Linked DNA regions of Coturnix japonica. The protein of the gene in region 2 purifies or fractionates together with the protein of the main gene of each other region. This does not show direct contact. Links are inferred from orthologs where the notes say so. Each region holds a gene or a part of one and is shown on either strand. Other genes may lie near its edges.

What was found. Proteins that work in one complex are often made in the same cells at the same time.
Region 1: the proteins of POLR1C (region 2) and POLR3F purify together in Homo sapiens (affinity purification with mass spectrometry; 4 studies listed by BioGRID and IntAct, counting the BioPlex papers as one, with this or other methods). This does not show direct contact. The link is inferred for Coturnix japonica from reciprocal best matches to the Homo sapiens genes POLR1C and POLR3F.

Annotation. Positions count from the first base shown.
Region 1 is NC_029518.1:13,399,315-13,409,392, forward strand, and holds POLR3F (DNA-directed RNA polymerase III subunit RPC6), read right to left. Parts: upstream 6,369-10,078; 5' UTR 6,272-6,368; coding exon 6,216-6,271; intron 5,947-6,215; coding exon 5,829-5,946; intron 5,056-5,828; coding exon 4,988-5,055; intron 3,998-4,987; coding exon 3,930-3,997; intron 3,333-3,929; coding exon 3,220-3,332; intron 2,627-3,219; coding exon 2,483-2,626; intron 2,200-2,482; coding exon 2,092-2,199; intron 1,542-2,091; coding exon 1,350-1,541; intron 979-1,349; coding exon 901-978; 3' UTR 369-900; downstream 1-368. UniProt on the Homo sapiens protein: DNA-dependent RNA polymerase catalyzes the transcription of DNA into RNA using the four ribonucleoside triphosphates as substrates.
Region 2 is NC_029518.1:27,795,547-27,805,656, reverse strand, and holds POLR1C (DNA-directed RNA polymerases I and III subunit RPAC1), read left to right. Parts: upstream 1-4,073; 5' UTR 4,074-4,116; coding exon 4,117-4,185; intron 4,186-4,258; coding exon 4,259-4,330; intron 4,331-4,426; coding exon 4,427-4,534; intron 4,535-4,625; coding exon 4,626-4,758; intron 4,759-5,318; coding exon 5,319-5,438; intron 5,439-5,653; coding exon 5,654-5,806; intron 5,807-5,941; coding exon 5,942-6,091; intron 6,092-6,617; coding exon 6,618-6,734; intron 6,735-6,958; coding exon of another isoform or gene 6,959-6,993; exon of another isoform or gene 6,994-7,073; coding exon 7,074-7,192; 3' UTR 7,193-7,382; downstream 7,383-10,110. Other genes in the region: protein YIPF3, read right to left, coding at 1,026-1,149, 1,566-1,679, 2,184-2,315, 2,657-2,749, 3,339-3,384, 3,466-3,572, 3,647-3,853, 3,924-3,986; XPO5 (exportin-5), read right to left, coding at 9,261-9,404, 9,701-9,865, 9,997-10,110. UniProt on the Homo sapiens protein: DNA-dependent RNA polymerase catalyzes the transcription of DNA into RNA using the four ribonucleoside triphosphates as substrates.

The DNA of each region.
Region 1 (10,078 bases), about 14 Mb from region 2:
ATGTGACAGGAAGATAAGAGCGTGCTTTTTGATGGTATGCCAGTATCATGCCTTCAATCACAATCCGTATTTATGTACAAACAGCTAACTCTGGTGCTTTTTGTAATCCTCAGGGCACCGAAACAGCCTACACAAATTTTCACTGTACCTGTATAACCAGGACAGAAGAGCTGTTTCTCGTTTGGAAAACACATCTTCACAGAATACCTACATTCTGAATTTCAGCTGACACTGATGTGCATGATGCAGCTGCCAGAACACAGAAGCACAGATCAGATAATCAGATCACAGTAGCTGTCCAACAGAAAATGCAACAGAAACATCACCAGACTCTGACAGCAGTGGAGTAAATGAAGCACCAAAATAGATATGAAAAAAAATCAAATACAGTTTTAATCATAGATCATAGCAGGTAAGAACGATGGTAAAGAATCATCAATTCCTATTTTACATAGGGAAGAAAGTGTCAGCTTTAGGTCTTAAGCTCCCACCAGCACTCTAAGTCTGAAAGCAAAGTTTAGGATCTCATTCTTGACAATGCTTCTTAGCAAGTTCTTCTGATCAGCTGATGACTTATTTTCCTTCGAAGTAAGCGTCTGTTGAGTATTCAACACAATCCTTGAATGCAATGCCTCACCACACAGCTGTTCTGTTGTGCTTCTCAAGTCAGGCACTTACATTTTGTACAAGATGGGAACTACGTTCAGCCTTGATCTTCAATGCTTGTTTGATTTTCAGTCCACTTACAGGACTGCTCACACAGCTGATGTGCTGCAGCTTTATGTTTACTTAAAAAGAAAAAAGCCAGAGGAACTTCACATCTTGAAGTAGCTCACAACCAGAAGCTGCTTTGTCATCTTAGCTGTGAAGAACGAATCGAGTTTACAGTTTTCTTTCACCTTAAAACTCCAGCCATTCTGTCATATAAATACAGTTAGATGGAGAAATCTCACCACCTTCATGGCAATCATCAAAAACCTAGGGAAGAAAGAAAGACCTGTGTCAGACCTGTGTAACTGTACGCAGCGAGCATGACTTAACTAGAAGTAGCAGAGCCTCATGTTTCCTTTTCCTTTCTAAGTAGAAAAACAGTAGTCTAGCTGAGAACAAAGTCGAGGAAGTTCAGTGCCAGTTTGGAGTAAGAGCAACGTGAGCACAACAAAGCAAAACAGAACCCGCTGTAATAAATGATGCAACATAATGTTCATGGGCATCATGAGCACACTTGGCTTAGAAACCCACAAGAATCACTCACAGACATAACCTTCATTTGCACCAGTTGACCATTTGAAGGACTGCATCCAAAATGTGCATGTACCACCTATTCATGTAAAGAATTTGTTACTTACTGGACAGAGTCCACAGGGTGTCCTGACTAATCCAGTGGGTTGTATGAGAGGACTGACAGCTCTGTACAACTTCATCTGTCCATCCACACTGCCGACCGTCCCTTCCTTTGCAGCAATAATAGTCATCTCCACTTTTCCATCGTATATTAGTGTATTTAAAATGGTTTCAATGTCTTCCATTGACAATTCTACCTAAGGAACAATTTGTAAAATAAATATAGGAAAGACGTTTGCCACTAAGTACATGAGGAAACAAGAGCAAACCCCCACGAGTAACAGACATTTCCAGGAGCCCTTCTAACTTGTCCCACATTACAGGTACAGCTCTTAACTGGGCACTTGATAGGGTTGTGTAGATACAAAAAGAAAAGTCCCAAGACTTCTTGGACTTTTTCTTGGACTACATTAACCTTTACTAGCGCAAAAGAATTTTCCTATGCACCTCAAGTGTCTATATTATCTCAGCACGATATATTTCTTGTCCTACAACAAAACAGTTGTGGAAGAAAAGGACAAGAGTACTGAAGCCTGTTGGTAGTGACCAACAATGGCCCACGCATACAGACTATCCTGGAATCCCATACAGCACCACTGGCAATCCTCAAAAAGCAACAAAGCAACAAAGTCCACCTCCACTGCAGTAACTGCAGGGAACTAGAGCACTCACCAAACTTGCACGACCCAACTCCTGCAGCTAATCATGTACTGACAATTCTGAGCAGAAAGATGAATTGATGCTGACCTTACTGATACCCAGCTCACAGATGTATTTCCACACCTCATGGGAGGAGGCAAATGAGCTGTTCCTCTGTATCACAGGGTTCTGTTTGCTCTCTCGAGCCGCTTCTGCCTGAGGAAGAAAACCACAAAGACAAGTTGCAGTCAGCACTCAGTGACAGAGCTTTCTTCACAGCTCAGTTTAGGGCAGAGTGCAAAGTGCTGTTTTGTAAACCATTTCTGAGATGTCACTGCAGTTTGGAGAAGGAAGGATCCACTCACTGCAAAGGTTACAAAAAAGTGTAACACTCACAGGAAGTACCATGGAAAACTGAAGCCTTGTCTGTCATTGGCTTTAGAAATAAAAGATTTATTTGCAAATACAAATGAAGGATCAGTTTAGTAGTGGCACTTACCTTACTCTGTAGAAATTTAAAACACTGCTGATTTAACACCTCCACAAATTCAGACTCAAAGTCCTGGTCACTGTACCAGGCCCCACCAGTCACCGATCGGTCAGGCTGCAGGTTATACAGCATATACACCTTCTTCTTGGATGCCTGGTAGAGAAAGTACATGGCTCTGAATAGATGAAGGTAAAATCTAAGGCACAGTAATGATAACTTGAGTCAGCTGGATTGATGTGTACAGCTCCTAGATAAGATGGACACACATTGCTAGTATGCAACAAGCCCTGAGCTAGAAACCAGGAGAGTGCCCAAATAATATGCACATGCCAATGATTTGTAATGAAGCAGGTAAGGCAGAGCAGGATGCTGCATAAGCATTACAACAGAATAACAAAAGTACTGAAAAAAATAAGCCCTACTCTCGCATGTGGACTATTTGTACGTAAGATATAACAGCAGTATGAATGGTAATAGAACAGTATATTAATGGCGGTGTATTTATTACTTATATTATTAATTTGTTTGCTATAGTATGTTTATTACTTATCAAACATGACAGCCTCTTGGATCTGGTACAGCTCAAACATACATTGTAAATGTTAAGAGTAAAATGTTGGTCCACATGCAGTGACAAAGCTGGAGGCAGAACAAGGTTTCTCTGCTCCCTGTTCCACGTTCAAACATGTACAGCATGTAGCAAACATTTGGAAATGTTAAAAAGCAACAAGTCAAAAATTACTCACTGCCACAGATTTCACTGCTTTAATTAGTTTCTTGCTTTCCAAGTTTTTCAATATCTTGTTGATCTCCGTTAAAGGCAAATTACTTTTGTATCTGATGTCCCTGCTCCAAATACCTGTTAAAGAAGCACAGAAATGAACAGAATTAATTAGGAGAACCAGGTATTTGTTTCTGTAAGGATTAACAAGCCAAAAGTCATAATGTTGCCTGCCAGCCAAAGGCTGCATCTCCAATCCTACCACCCTCAGCAAAAGGGAGGGAATGGGAAAAAGAGGATGAAATAAAAATCAACTGACAAAGCAGAAGAAAAACCTCACAGCACAGTCACCATCTGTATCTCTGGGAGCTCTTACATGTACACAACATTTGGCCTCACAGGAGATCCAGGAGACACAGAATTTTGTTTTTAAAGTGATGAGTATTTTGTATAGATTCCCCAGTTTCACAGTCCCATCAATAAGCCATAATTCATATTCTGAAACTTCATATTTTGAAAGAGGTCCCAAAAGGTCAGACCAGATAATTTGTTATTTTAATAGAGAAATATGTCTTCCTCTGTTTTTAATAAGTGGCACGTGGAACATTAGCTACAGACTTAGGCGTGCTCTATATCTGATATCTGCATTGCCTGGACAAGAATTTAAACGTTTGGACAGGAAAAGTTCCACAAACAAAGCTATTACCATTCCCCATTATAATTTATTTAAACTACCTTTGTTGCCTGCATCTTCTATGATTTGGTAAACCAGCTTCTCTTGATTGTCAGAGCCTTTCATTTTACTGTGGAGTAGAAGAGACAACGGGATTTTTTGGGGTAAGTTTGAAGTTTGAAAGAGGGTGGATTTATTTTAAACCAAAAACAAATACTATGAACAGAAACCACAACACACAAAGGGAAAAAGAAGCCCCACACAATAAACCAGCCAGTGGCAAATAAAATACATGACACCAAACCTCTGTGGATCATTCTGCGATTGCCAGTGAAAAGCCACAGTAAAGAGAAAACAGCACAGTTGAAAAAAAAAATAATATTAGTCATTAAAAATGAGGGTAAGCAGGAAACACTCAACTTCTCTTAACAAAGAGAAGTTTGGAGTCACATATTAACACAACTGCATAAGGTCAAACACTCAGCACATAATTCAGGACCAACTGTCGCAACAAGGGGACAGCAGAGGCTCTACAACGTGCCTTCTCACTGGTCTCAGAAAGCCTCAGCTTAGAAGGTTTTTTTCTAATGCAGTGGAAAGAGAAGTTGAGATGCCTGCATGGAAGATAATTTTGAAGGACGTTTCTTTCTAGAAGTAAATCCAGGCATCTCCTACTCAGCTCCACACAGACATCGCAAAACACGACTTTATTGAAGGCATGTTTTAATAAATCAAATAAAAGAGCACAAACAACATATCAAGCGGCCTTCTGGAACTGCTGTAAGTGCTGGAAAAGACCACAGAACGATACTTATAGATGGTGTGGTCAAGCTTCAGCTGGCTTTCATCTGAGCATTCGCATCTGCTCATAGAGATCACTTTGCCAGATGAAGAATTCCACTAGTAAGCTACAGCTGGAGCCCCATGGGAGAGTCTGTGCAGCAGGAATCATACAACAGTTGACAGAATTGGCTCAGGGGGGTTAAGCGTATCAAGCAAGTAAATTCTGTAATATCTTTGTTACAGAGCCCATGTTAAATTCCTTGCTGTGTTCTCAGCAACGCCGCACATCAGCTGCAGAACCGCATTCAGATATTGATTGCGTAAGCACAAGGCTCACCTTGCATTTTGAGACTCTTTGATTCTATACAGGAGACCTGTGCTGCTCCTGAGAAGGTCCAGTTGCCCCTGTGGGAAACAGGCACAGCACATTAACTTCCCTTCTAACAGCTTCTTTTCAGAACACGGCAAGAAAATCTCCTTAACTTGTAAAGAAAATAAATGTACTTTGTATCAGCTGAATACAGAAAAGGGAAAAACAACATTTCTAACTGCTAGACACAACAATAACCCTGAGGATATTATTCTTCCCCTCTGACCATGCATTTATCATTAGCTGTCAGAAATAACAAACACAGCTCCAGCCTCTCCCCACAACACTGGTGCACTTCCCGTTGTTTCTCCTAACGTTCACCTTGGGACATGGAGCTCTTGTATACTTCCCACCAAAGTGCTCATTCATATGAGCATCCAGATATCAAGTGAGAGCTCTGCTGGACAGGAACACTGAACAATTCCACAAGTGGAAGAGATGAGGGCTCTTATTTTGTTGGTTATGTTCTCAGTTCTGTAGATAACTGGAAAAGTGTCAGCCAAGTTTGAGGATGCCTCATGGAGGCTGCTCACTCACACAACAGGTGTTAACTTTATCTTACAGAATGGAAACTACATTTTGAGGTATGTTTTAATAGATGATGGTGACCGTTATAAGTGGTTGTGGTGGTCACAAGTGAGAACCACAATTAAGCTGCAAAAACTGCCAGTTCTGGCAAATGACACTAAATCCAAGATGAACTTCCCAGCCCTGCCCAGCTGGGTGCCACCACGCAGCCATTGACAACAGCCCATTGACATCAAGAGCCTCAGGATGAAGCAGCTCGAAGGGGTGTGGAACGTCGTACCATGGAGAGCAGCCTGTTGATGGCCATGGCTCGCTGCTGGGCCTCCATGTGCGGCATGTCATTCTGGATCACCTGGTCTGTGATGCCGTGAGGGAACTGCTGGCACAGCTCAATGATCCTGGGGGAGGAATGAGGCGGTTTATGAACCAAAGGCCGTTGTGCACAAAACCAGCCACCTGAAAGGCCATCAGAGCAGGGACGGAAAGGAAAGAGCAGCTCAGGAAGAACCACTTCTCAGCTCTTTCTGACAGCGCTGCTGCTCCACTTCACTTTTGGGCTGCTCTCAACATCAACGCACCAGGACCCACCAGGACCCACCGCTCCCCGCCTCCCCAGCACCACGAAGCCTCTCCCGATGATTTCGGGCCAGGGCCCGTCCCAACGCACCTGCTCTCTATGTCCACGGGGTCGGGCACCTCCGGCTTCACCTTCACCTCCGCCATGGCGGCGGGCCGGGCTGCGCGGGGAGATGCCGTCACCAGGAGCGGAGGGGATCGGTTACTGAGCGGCACGTTGAGATGACGTTATTTGTACGCGCCGGTGCCGGTTGCCGAGTAACGGGACGCGTGGGCTTTGTCGACACCGCCTGCTTTGTGGTGGTTGTGGTTGTTGTTGTGGTTGCTGTTGTTGTTGTGTTTCAGGGATCGCAGAGCAGGATGGCGGCGGGCTCCGTGTCTGTGCCGCAGCTCATTCCGCTCCGGGTCCCTGTTCCAGGGCAGGCCAAGCACCGCATCGACAGCGGCACCCGGGTGGAAATCAAGTCAGGTACGGGCTGCGGCTTTGCCTCTGTCAAACCTCCTCTCAAAGCGTTTGAGCCTTCCAGCCTCCGTGTTGGCTGCAGGTAACTGGCCTCAGGAACTCCACCTGCCATCAGAGGAGATGGTTTATCTGTTGGTAGAACAGTGTTTTCCTGCAAAACCACCGTGCGGTGACTTTATGAAGAGAAATATTGCTAATCGTGACATCGCAGCCATTCAGTGTCAGTTCTTCATGGGAGAAACGGTTTTGGTTCTGAACTTTTATGCAATTGCTTCATTGTGCTTATGTGAGAAAGTCAAGTACTCACACAGTGCTGAGTATCTGCAGGGTTGTACAGATATTTGTGTTTTTTTCCAGCTCCTGCACAGTTTGGCTAATTACTTTCTCTGTGTTGTTCAGATACACCTGAGGTCTCTATTTATTACACTTTAGATGGAAGTAAACCAGAACTTTTTAGGAAGCCTGGCTATGGAGAGCGTAACACTTTTAAGTATAAGAGTCCTATCACGTTACCAGTCGGGAAAATAACAGTCAAGGCTCTTGCAGTTACCAAGTAAGTATCCTGCTTTAACTTAGTTCTGTTTTAGAATGGACATCTTAACTTCATGGTTAGAAGAACACACAAGGAATCCCCAGTCCAGCTGGGAATCTGTTCCCCACTATTAGCACCTGCATGTAGCCTTTGCTTGTATCTGCATTGGAATATGACAACATTATATTCCCTGTGCAGGACATGCAAACCCTAGGTCTGAAGGTATTTTCATATATCACTATCTGAATTAACAGTTCTTTCCAGTGTTTTATTAAGACATTTCCAGGTGCACCAAATTGATGCTCTGGAATGAAAGCAAATTCTTAATTAATAGCTTGTACATTTGTGGCATTTTAATGTTACTGCTGTAATTTAGCAAGTGAGAAGGTAGAGAAGGTAGATAAGAGAAGGACAGTTGATATATCAAATTGACAGTGTGCTGTCTGCTGCTTGACTGCCCTTTGTTGCCTGCAATGCTGGCAAACTAATTACTCCAGAAAGCAGACACAGCAGCATCAGGAGTTAGTTTCACAGGTAAAAGATGTTGAAGAATTAAAGTATCCATCCGTATGTTTTACTGTTAACTTCTTAGTGTGCACACTAACTTAAACATAATAACAAAACAAAGCAGAGGTTTTTGAGAGTATTTCCCAGGACTGTGCTTACTCACTGAAGTAATGACTTGCAAACTTGGAAGAGATGTTCCAGACGATCAACCGTGTTCCCCCGTGGTTTCCTTTTCATTGCATGTGGTTTTATGGCATGTTCAGAACTTTGTGATCATTGACTTCCAGGGACTGCAGGGAGAGTGCTGTTGTGACAAAGGTGTTTCTAGTAGAGTACAAGCAACCAAACGGCCTCTTCTCTATGGAAGATGATGACAAGAAGTTCCTAAAAGATGTCACAACACAGGCAAGTTGTAGCAGTTGCAATCTCTTGTCTGAATACAGAAGGTTGTGTGTATGATAGTGCTTAGAGATTAAACCTTGACTGCCTGCATTTTTTATGTATTTTATTTTCCCTGTTGCTCATCTTTGCAGCCTTGGCCCTTTTTATAAAGTGAAATTTTAAGGGAACACGTCTTCTTTCTTTACTCACTGCTCTGTCATGATCAATTCAGGTCAAATATATTTAAAATACATTTATCCTCCAAGCTTTTCAAATGCTTACAATGAAAAGAAATACCTCAATGATATGCCTTTAAAATCGTAACAAATAACTATAGCTTCCTATAACTATAGGAAGGATTAGAGCAAAAACAAGCAATCCTAAGTAATCCAAATGAAATCACTTCTTAGGAGAAGGAAGATGGAACATTTACTACAAAACCAAGGCAAAATGGAATGGGTGTGGAAATCAAGCCTGCCTGGACTGAAACACCCCGGGATGTTCAAGGTATGGTATTACTGCAGGAAGTCAGAACAGACTTTGGGTTTTTTTGTTAGCTGAGAATACAGTGCAAAGTTTTCATCTTATGTCATCATTAAAATACAGGGGAATCTAAAAAACATCTCAGAAGTCAAAACATCTTCTGAGGAGTCCAATTTCCATTTCTCAGCACTGCAAGCAGGGAACAAAAATTGCCTTCTATACTTACCAGCCTGCTTATTAAGAACAACAACAACAAAATAATTCATTTCTAAGCAACATAACAAGGCCCAGTCTGCATCTGCATTTGTGCTAGAAAATGACATTAAACTGATGGGACTGCAAATTCATTAGAATATAGAGAATAACACATTTTTGGTTTTAGAAACAGAAAGAAAGACTGATCACAAGTCCCTGCAAGGACCACAGCTCCTGACCAGCCCTTTGGGAACAGCAGGGTACGGAGAGGAATCCTCAGTACTACCAATGGAGTCCTCACAGGCAAGGAAAGGGGCATGGAGGAAAACTGTACAAGTCTGTCCAGAAAAGAGAAAGATGTGAAACTCTGTCGTCATTTTTATATAATCTCTCAGAAACCACTGCCTTTGGCTGTACTATACAGGACTGATTTAAGGTTATGGGTAAAGACATGCTTAAAAAGTAAAGACAAAACCAGGTACGAAAAATTACCAATACCTGCATTGTTAGAAATCCTTTTCTAACACATTACAGAAACTGCAATTAACAAACATTTAGACCTACCATTTAATCATGCTGCCTTTGATAAGACAATTATTTTGAATTGCAGAATCTCTCGGTCACTACTGCAGCTAATGGGAGATGTATTAGATATTCCTTAAAGCAATACATTTCTATGCACTTTGTCTCAAATAACATGTCTTTATTTGAATTAGCTCGATGCATGTATGTGCATCTTGTATGCATTTGGCAAACAGTAATTAATGCAAAAGTATTACCTTCATTTCAGTTTGCCAGTTCTGCAGTGACCAGCCGGAAGAGCTTAACAAGCACACAGGTGGCAAGGATCCAGAGGGAGAGAGATTTCCTCAGGTAAATGACTGCTACTGACATCTTTGTTCTGTAGAAAGAAACAGAGCAGTTACTTCCAACAAGCGAGTTGATAATGCTGTGAGACTCTGCTAGAAATAAAGAAAGCAAAAGAGATACAGTAGGTGACAGAGCTCACCTCTCAGTAGACCTTACATGGTGAGTAAAAATCATGAAACTTTGTAGCAGCAGCCAGGGAGCTTCCACCTTGCCAAGCTCTTCCTTGTTCAGTCTCCTGCATAGGACGCTGGGGAATGGCCTGGTGAGCCACTGTAGACTAGGAACCACAATTTAGACATCGGCGGTCTAAGTCCAGTCACAGATGATTCCAGATTTTTCCTTGTTATGCACCAGTACATTGCCAAAACGAGTTGAGCCAGCTTGCTGTTGTTTCCAGATGTTCGTACTGCTCCGCACCCCGCCTGTCTGACCCCTTGGCTCACTTCTGCCAGGAATGCGGCTCTCCTATCCCACCCGTGCCAGTGCATCGCTTCCCATCCCCTGAACGAGCACAGGTCAGCAA
Region 2 (10,110 bases):
TATCCTTGGGACAGGGGAACATAGATCCTTTCTCTTTGAGGGAGCTAAATCCAGCCCCTTGTCATTTGACCTGAAGAAAGACGCTGCTAGGGGCTCTCCTCTGCCAAGGCAGCCTGGCAGGTCATTTCCCCGCTTCACTCCAGCACATACCCTCCTCTTAGAGCAACTGTTTGCTTTCACCTTGAGATACACCTGCAAGGCTTATATCAGAATTACAGTTGGAAGTGCAATATGGAATTTTTATCACTGCACTGCAAACAGACCATATTTGGCAGGAAATGCAGATGCTGATGGAAGTGTTCTCCAGTTCCTGTCAATTACCCTCTCAAGACTGATCATCAGTCACGGAGATCCTTGGAGAAAATTGCTTGGAGTATATTCTCACATATTTCATTTGCTGAGAAGTTGCATATTAGGGCTGAGAACGTTGGCCATGAATAGGGAGCCAGGAAAGAACAGTGTTTAGCTCCAAGAGGACTTGTGATGCTGTGCCAAAATTATGCAGGTTTCAATCTAATAATTTGTTAGGAGAAAATCAACAAAACACAAAGACCACCCAAATCTGTATAACCTGGTAAAAAGTACTGACTGCAGAGGATGCAGCTTTTGCTGTCTGTGTTGTACAACTTAAGATAATAAAGGTGTTAGGTAAAGAAGGAAGGACTTTCATGATACGTTTCCTGATCAGAGTAAAGCAGCCTGATTTTAGCAAGGATCAGGAAGGGACTGGATAACTGCATAAGAGAAGCAGTCACTGCTTCAACGCTTGACTTGTGGGGAAAGCCTGCTTGCAGCTTGTCTTAAGTACGAGAACTGCATACAGAGACTACCCCACATCAACATGCTGACCTGCTTTGACACCTTCTGCTAACTATGGTAGTGCAGTCACGCTTGGGCCTGGAACTGGCCCAGATGCCCTTAGGTCAGTTCCAAACTGCCTGTCCTTTCTCTCTGAGAAAGGAAGAAGCACCACCTCCTCCTGCCCCACATCAAAGAGGTACTGCCATCATGTTTCCCTTGCTTACCTTCTACCACCTTGTGATAAGCAAAGTGCAGATAGAGGAGGAAAAGCATATGCAGAGCAGCAAGAGTTCCACACAGGATGAGCCGCTGGGTGTGCCCCACCGTGCGTGACACCAGCACAGCAACCTAGGAGAGAAGTGGAGATTTAAGGGATGGGAGAGCTGCAATATCAGCCTCTGGCACTGCAGTCAGGAGTACACAGGAGGATGGGCTAAGCAGAGAGCCAGTGGGAACACTGCTCAGAGCCTTCCTCACAGTTGGCACTAGGAAATCTGACTGTTTTGGGTAGATGAATCTTGCCCAGTTTCACTCAGTGTTAAGGGGGCTCAGCAAGTATCTCTGGAGCAGCGGGGGACATAAGACAGCAGGCTTCCTGCAGCTGTTAGAATGGGTGAGGACAGTAAGCCAGGCCACACACTAATAGCCAAATGGCCCAGAAGCATCAGGCTTTCTTTAAGCACCCTACCCAGCTGTGGAATCACTTGACTGGCCCAAGGAACAGAAAGCAAGAAACACTTCCCTCTGGGCTGCCAGTCACTTACCATTCGCAGTGTAGAGAGTCCACCAACGACTAACCAGAAAACATAGAAGAGGGAATGGAAGTGGATATTATAGGTGACAAGCAGAGTGATGCAGTGTCCAAAAAGGCCATAGCCCTGGCAAAACAAACACATCCATGTTACAGTTGTCACTTGCACACAAAAGGTTGTTGAGCAACAAACAGCCAATGCTTGCAATGTTTCAGCAAGGCACTACTTTGCAGACTGCACACTCCGTGCTAGAATGTCAACCAGCACAACAGATTTAACAGGAGCTCACACCCAGCTCATCTGTCAGAAGGATTCACAGGACTGTTGGAGATTGCATCAATCTAGGAAATGCAAGGAAAAAAGCCTCTGATCCCAGAAAAATGAGAATCTCCCCAAGAGGAAACTTGCAAGCACTAACAGCTGCTCTGTGCCATCTCTGTGTCTGGGACAGATCAGGTCCAAAGATCATCCCGGATTCCAAGTTGTCCCTGTGCAACAAGGTTATGGTCATCTGGGACCACTCATTTACAAAGATGTTTCCAGCTCTCTGGGAAGAGCTCACAGGTTACCCTCCCCTCTGGAACACCACGCAGCCAGCATCCATCCTGGGGCAGCCCCATCCGTACATACCAACAGCGACAGCATCTGCACCATCGTGATTTGGGCATTGCACAGATATGCCAGGAAATAGATGAAAGAGGAGACTCCCAACCAGTAACCAAAGCAGGTGCCAATGGCTGTGCCCATCAGTGTGCCTTCCCTCTGTGGAGACAGCAGCAGGACAGAGAGAACTCAGAGCAAGGGCCTGCCAGCACCTGAGTTTCACTGCAGAGCACCCAGAGCCTTTCATACATGTATACAAACAGCTGGCTTAACAGCAGGCAGGTTGCCCCACGACCTACACCCCATCTCTCCCAGCTACAGAGCATTGGGACTTTCTGATGCAACTTTCCTCCCCTCTCCAAAACCAAAAGGATCTTCCTCAGATCAAATCTGCTTTTCAGCTCTTGTGATACAGAAGAGGTTTCCTCTCCCTTTCCAGTGTCATTATAGCAATCCCAAACCCGGTCAAAGCACAAATGAATCACTGAGACTCGCCATACAATGATAGTGTCCGAGGTCTTCATCCCATGCAACAGGATGGCCACCAGCGTGAAGACCAGCATGAGGGGTCCGTAAAGCTCACCTGCAATCTTCTACATGTAAAGAGAGAGATGAGGCTTAGTTAGTGCTCCTGTCTTCCAGGCTCTCCACCCTGAGAGACATAACGAGCATCTTGGAGACTTTTATCACCCGAGGAGCATCTGCAAGGCCACTGCTGACAGAAGCCACACAGAACAGACTGTGATGAGTCAGAGTGGTGTTCAACAGGATGCAGAAATGGGCAAAGTGAGGTCTAGAGTTCTACAACTGTACCAGCGTTAAGGGTAGCAGGAAGGTAAAGGCAGCGCTGGCACAGGCTGTGCAGGGCAGCGGTCACAGCAGTGAGCTGGCTGGAGTTGAAGAAGCATCCGGACAATGATCTCAGCTATATGGTCTGATTTATGGGTGGTGCTGTATGGAGCCAGGTGAGCCTTATGAGTCCCTTCCAACTCAGGATGTTCTATGATTACAATTCTATGAGAATGGGGTTTGGAACAACCATAGGAAAGGGTTTACTGATACTTTGAGGGAGGTGAACATCTAACAGACTTGGATCCTTAATAACAGGCTAATTACATCTGAGGGGTCTCTGTGGAACAGTCACTCAGGCTGTGGGGTCTGGTTCAGTGAGAGAGAACTCACCTGTGGGAAACTGATCATCTTGACGGGCACCATGGACTCCAGCAACCTGCATTACGGCACAGCGGGGAACGACATCAGGACAGTCATTAAGAAGCAACAGATCCCGTGCACCCGCTGCCCTGCCCACCTGGTGCGCACTTGGACGGGCTCCACGTCGAAGTATGGCCGCAGGATGTCGATGTTGGCGTAGAGGCTGAACGCTTTGGACGCCTGTCGCTTCCCCACCTGCCACATCTGCGGACAGAACGGTACGTGCAGCGGCGGGGCCGGGGCCGGCGGGGCTGTTGGCGGCTCGTGAGCCCACTCACCTGGTCGGCCACCTGCCGGCCCAGCTGCCCCTGCAGCCCCTTCATGCCCAGGAACTCGCCGTCCTCTTCCCCGCCGGCCCCCGCCTCGCCCTCCGCCTCCTCGTCCTCCTCCTCCTTCATGCGCTGGTGCATCTCCCCCATGTCCTCGAAGCTGGAGCCCGACGTGTCGTCCATGTTCTCCATGTCGATGACGGCCGAGCCGCCGCCCTGCTCCGATGCACGGATCGTCAGCGCCCGCTCGGGCCCCTCTGTCCCCCCCCCCGCGGGCCGGCCCCACCTGCACGTTGTCCTCAAAGCCGCCCCACTCGGCGGTGCCGCTCCTGCCGCCCGCCGCGGCCATAGCGCCGGTAACGGGGGACGGCAACGCGGATGTGACGGTCCGGCCGCTCCGTGTCTCGCGAGAGCCGTCAGTTCCGCATGGCCGCCTTACGTGCGGCGGGGCGGGGCGGCGGCGCGTCCTTCCGTCGGCGATGGCGGCCCGGCGCGGCACGGACGAGATGCGGGAGCGCGTGGTGCTGGGCGAGTTCGGCGTCCGCAACGTGCGTGGGGCGGCGGGACGCGGGGCGGCTCCCGCATCACCCCCCGCTGCCTCACGGGCTGCGCCCCCCGCAGGTCCACACCACTGACTTCCCAGGCAACTACCCCGGGTACGACGACGCGTGGGACCAGCGGCGCTTCGAGGAGGTGAGTGGGAGCTGATGGAGATGATGGAGCTGATGGAGCTGCTGCTGCGGGGCCCCTTGTTCGGCTCCGTCGTGACGCGGCGCGGTTCCCGAGCAGGGGTTCCGCGTGGACGTGGTGCGGGAGGAGGACGGCGTGCTCGAGTTCGACATGGTGGGCATCGACGCGGCCATCGCCAACGCGTTCCGCCGCATCCTGCTCGCTGAGGTACCGCGGGGCTGGGAGACATGACGAGTGGATGGTCCCCGTGCGGTGCCCTGCTTGGCGGCTTATCGCCTCGCTCTGTCGTCCCCCCGAGGTGCCGACCATGGCTGTGGAAAAGGTGTTTGTGTACAACAACACGTCCATCGTGCAGGACGAGATCCTGGCGCACCGACTGGGCCTTATCCCCATCCGGGCCGACCCGCGGCTCTTTGAGTACAGGAATCAAGGTGAGGGGCTCGGGTCGAACAGCGGTGGGGAGGGTGGAGCCCATAACCAGGAGCTGGGGTCACACCGTAGGATCATGAAGGCCATCAGGTCCAACGATCCCACAACATACAGGGACTCCTACATCTGACCAGGTGCTCAGAGTCCTGCCCAGCCTGGCCTTGTAAGTCTGCAAGGACAGGGCATCAGCCGCATCTCTGGGCAGCCTGTTCCAGTGCCTCACCACCCTCATTTTCACCACTCTCACTCAGTAATAGACTTTTTCTTTATCTCTAAAGTAAATCTACCCTCTTTAAGCCTCAAACCGTTTCCCCTTCTCCTATCACAGCAGACCCTGCTGTAGAGTCTGTCCCTTTCTTTCTTGCATGCTCTTCCTAGGTGCAGAAAGGCCGCTTCCAGGTCTCCCTGCAGCTTTCTCTTCTCTAGGCTGAGCAGCCCCAGCTCTCAACCCATCCTCGTAGGAGAGATGTTCCATCACTGGGTCATTCATGTGTCCCTCCCCTGGATACACTTCAACAAAGCAGAATTCACTTCCATAAAGATACTGTTTTGCCATTTCCAGGAGATGAAGAGGGGACGGAAATTGATACTCTGCAGTTCCAGCTGAAAATAAAATGCAGCCGGAATCCTCAGGCAGCCAAGGAATCGTCTGACCCAAACGAGCTGTATTTCAATCACAAAGGTGAGAGCTCCTTGTGCCTGCCCTAAAAGTAGGTGCAGCTTTCTGCTTTTTCTCTTGTTCATTTTCTTCTTTCTCTCTCTTGGTGTTTTGCCTTGTGAGCAGAGACAGCTCATTTCCTCACAGTATACATAGCTTGCTTGTGCCATCTCCTATTCAGGTCAGCAACCTGTTTTCTGAGGCAGCAGCTGGCTGATGCTCGTGGTTTCTTTTGGCAGTGTACAGTAAGCACATGACATGGGTTCCCTTGGGGAATCAGACAGACCTCTTTCCGGATGCTGACTTCCGACCTGTCCACGACGACATCCTTATAGCACTGTTGAGACCTGGGCAGGAAATAGATGTGCTCATGCACTGCGTCAAGGGTGTAGGTGAGTGCTGGGTCTGAGCTGGGGAGTGGGTGTGCTGGTGCTTGGACTCGAGCACAGCTGTGTGATGGGAAACACTGGAGAACTAGCTTGACCCCAAGGCCTGTCCTCATCCTTAATTCTGAACTCTTTGTGCAGGTAAAGATCATGCCAAGTTTTCTCCTGTGGCCACAGCTAGTTATCGACTGCTTCCTGACATCACTCTCCTGCAGCCTATCGAGGATGAGGCAGCCGAGACGTTACAGAAGTGCTTTTCCCCTGGAGTCATTGAGATCCAGAACGTCAAGGGTACTTTCTTTCCAGCTGTAAAGTGCCTCGTTCCTAACAAGTCTTAGCAGTGACTGAATAGAGACAGTAGAGATTGTAGTCAAACCTTGTTGGGAAAATAACACATTGCGATGTTGTCTTGCTGATCAACAACAGTTGGTGCTGTTTTGAGCCTGGTTGTAGTGGCTGAGTGGCTGTCACACACAAATGTTTTTAGCAGTGAACTGAGATCTCCCTGAAATGCTTATGTGTTGCATGCCTGTCTGTAGAGCCCTGTGCTACTGTTAGGTGTCTGGGTAGCGAGCTTGCTCTTTGTAACAGCTGAGCACGGGGAGGACTTGTGTCCTGCCCAGGAGCACATACAGGCTTTGTGTTTGGCTTAGAACTGTTCGAGGAAATGAATTCTGCCAAGCTGGAGTTTCATGTTAGGGATGTGCTAATTATATGTGGCTTTGCTGCCTCTGCTGCTTGAGGGGTAAGTACTTTTTGTGACCCCAAGGTGCTCATCTGCTGCCGGTGCCCACCTTGTTTTGTCTTCTCCTTTTAGGAAAGAAGGTGGCAAGAGTAGCCAACGCACGGTTGGACACGTTCAGCAGGGAAGTCTTCCGACACGAGGGTCTGAAAAACCTGGTGCGCCTGGCCAGGGTGCGAAATCATTACATCTGTAAGTAGCCTGTTTTGTGCAGAGCAGAGTGCCCAGCCCGATTCTGCTTTGTACAAACAAGCAGGGGCTGGCCAGTGTGCATACCTTGGTCTCAGTCTTTCCCTTCTACTTGGCATCGTTATTCTTCCTATGTTTGTATTCCTCTGGGGAGCTACTGAGATAGTGGTTTGGTGCAGCTTTGGGGTAGGATGTGTTTGTGCTTCTTGCTGGCTTATTTCTTTCAGCTGCAAAGGTCTGGCTTGCTGGAAGTGCAGCATAAGGGAAGATGAGGAGCAAACGCTGGAGCCAGCCGCAGGCTGAAGCAGCGCAATGGCCGTGCTGACTTCTGTCTCTGTGCAGTTTCAGTGGAGTCGACAGGTATCTTGCCTCCAGACGTGCTGGTGACTGAAGCCATCAAGATACTGATGGGAAAGTGTCAGCGTTTCCTGAATGAACTGGATGCTGTGCCAATGGAGTGAGTGAGCTGTACAACCAAGAACCCTGTGCTGCTGTTTTGGGCTTCTTGCTCTGGCCGGCAGGAGTGGTTCTTCTGCCCTAGGCATGAATTTGGAGATGGATTTTTTTAAGAGCCCTGGGACCATCTCTTTGTTTCGTGTGTGATGAGCCTCAGTGAGGAGATGCACTGAAATAAAAGCTTGCTTTTACCTCTGCCTGCTTCTGTGCAGTTAACAACTGTGAGACTGTACCATACAAAAATAAAGTGGCAGCAGGGCTGAAGCCAAGTAATACTTGTTTTAGAATGCAGGCAGTGTGTGAAGAGGACCAGTAAGGCACTGTAGTAAAGCTCTTAGCAGCAGGCCCATGAGAACTGAAGTCACTGTCAGTTTATGTCTGTTTTGAAGATGTCTCAGTGTGGTAGCTGGGTTGTCTTATAGTACTGGGCTTCTTTGTGTAGTAGGGATGGTGGGGTTTAAATACGTGCTCTAGAATCCACAGGGGGGATTTGAACCTGGGCCTCCGTGTTGCAAGCGGCACTTCTACCACTGTGCCACCGGGGCATTCATTGGCTGCACTTTCTTTCTGGCAGCTGGAGCGAGGAAGGCTGAATACAAACAAAGTCATGACACCGTGGGTATGAAACTGGAATAGCTTTACTGACATTCAGAGGTGTAACACAACTGGTTCAGAGACAGCTTTAAACATTCCTACAAAAAAAAAAAAGGCTCTAAAAACCATTTAAAAAAACCCCTTGTGTCTAGCATGAAGTCACAGAATGTTAAAAACCTCACAACACAATAAATACACCCAGCCTTTGCTAAGAGCCAGGAGCCACGTCAGCTCAGAGGTTCAAAATGTCTGAGGCCAGGAGGGAAGTAGAGGGTGCAGGTGGAACAGCAGGGGCAGGAGGGTGTGTAGATTCCCAAGGCACACTCATCTTTTCTGCATTCTAACCCCCTTCCATCCCAAACTTTTCAGTCCCGTCTGTCCTCGCAGGATTTATTGGTTCTTCTTGATGGCAAAATGAGCTGAGCCTCGCAGCTCCTGTGCCAGCATAAGCGTATGCTGAATGAACCATTTGTCATGTCAAGAAGAGCCAACTTTGCAAACCGGAGTCACCTCATCTGACACCTTGTTTCTGTTCTGGCTGTTCCCTGTAAGCTGCAGTATAACCCCCACTCCTCCTGCCCCGCTGCATTACCTCTGAGAAGTACCAGGCTGGGTGAAACTCCTGTCGCCTCCACAGCAAGAGGGTGAGGAGATCCCATTTGTTTTGCAGGTGCTTCAGGTATTGGTCCAGATTTTGTGTACCCTGCACTGGCCATCATCAGGGCGTGGTAAAAACAAAACGAAACAAAACATCTGTCCTGCTCCCCCTTAAGGATATCCAAGAAAAGCTAGCACAGAGTCAAAGCCTTTCGTTTGGCTATGGGTAGAACAAGTATGATCGTATATATATACATATGTATGTATATATATGTGTGATGGTGCCTGCCTCCCACAGAGGAGCTGCACCTTAAGAAGACTGATCTCAAGGAGATCCTAGAGCACTGCAAGGCTTCCTTGGCACGCAGCCCTCAGCCCAGCATCCTGGAAGAGAATGGATCCATTAGAACACGAGTCCAGTAGAGACAAGCATGATAGGCATGACAGCAGTGCCTGATGGATCCTCTGCAAAGCCTGGCTACCAGCACCTGGAGAAAGATGATGGTAGCCCCTTTTCACAAGCTGCACTATACCTTGCACTAATCCTAAACCCCAAAGGATGAAGAAGTGGAGACCCAAGGCTATAGGATGACCATGTTTTACCTAACAGTCTATGGGCTCAGCTCCCACCTTGCAGAGACAAAGGTCTAAAGATGCTCATCCAGTGTAGGGGAGGGGAAGGAATAAGAGAAAGCTTAACAGACTGGATCAGATGCCACCACAGACCCCATCCCATTGTAGGGAGGAGGATGGGACCGGACCTGTAAGGGGCTTTATTGAGACAAACGCTCGTAGAGGTGGTGACAAGGAGAATCTAGTGTGGTTACTATGAGAAGAGATGAAATACAAAATAGGGAAGGAGATGGCTGCAGCATCCCAGGCTCAGGGTTCAAAGAGCACAGTGAGATCCTCTCCATCCTCATGTGTCTCCAGCACATCTGTCTCCAGTGATGGCTTCACCTTTTTGAAGAGAGATGGGAGGTTCCGGATATGAACCTCCTTGCGGAACTGCTCCCCAAGTGGCTTCTGCAGAGGACAGACAGACATCAGTCATCAGCACCCTCATGCCTCCATCTTCACTAAAGCCCAGGACCCACTTGATGGATTTGTTCAAATGTTTCCCTACCCAGTTCCCTACAGGCACCTTTGTGTAAAGGTGTCTCAGTGAGATGAGGGGGGAAATAGTCAGAATCTGCTGCGACAGCTCCTTAGCTGGAAAGGGTGGTGGACAGGGGGAGGCAAAGCAGCCTGACTGCCCCGATGCTTCTGCAGGCACAGGGATCATTTGAAACAGGCTTGTTTTCCCTCAGGATATCACCTACCCCAATGCAACCCGTTATCAGGCGTTTGAAATGATCTTTCCGGCGCTTGTCTGCCACTTTCTGCAGCGTTGGGTTAAGAAGCTTTGAATCAAACTGCTCCAACGAGTCCCTCTGGATGTCTGGGATCTGCTCCATCACCATCTTCAGCTCAGCGTAGTGAGGACGCTGCAAGGAGAAGTACAGTCATCGCAGCTGCCCTCCCTGAGGGCCACTGGCTCCTCTGCGCCCCTCTAAGCAGACAAGGGATTTGCTTCCCACCAACCCCCAGACAAGGCGGCACGCTGACAGTTTCTCACCAAAGCCTCGTAGATCTGGAAAGCCAGATGGACAAGAGCTGCCATGCAGCCATCGTGCTGCCCATGGATCTGTAAGCCCTTCAGCACGCTGGTGAAAAACCAGGACACGGCGTC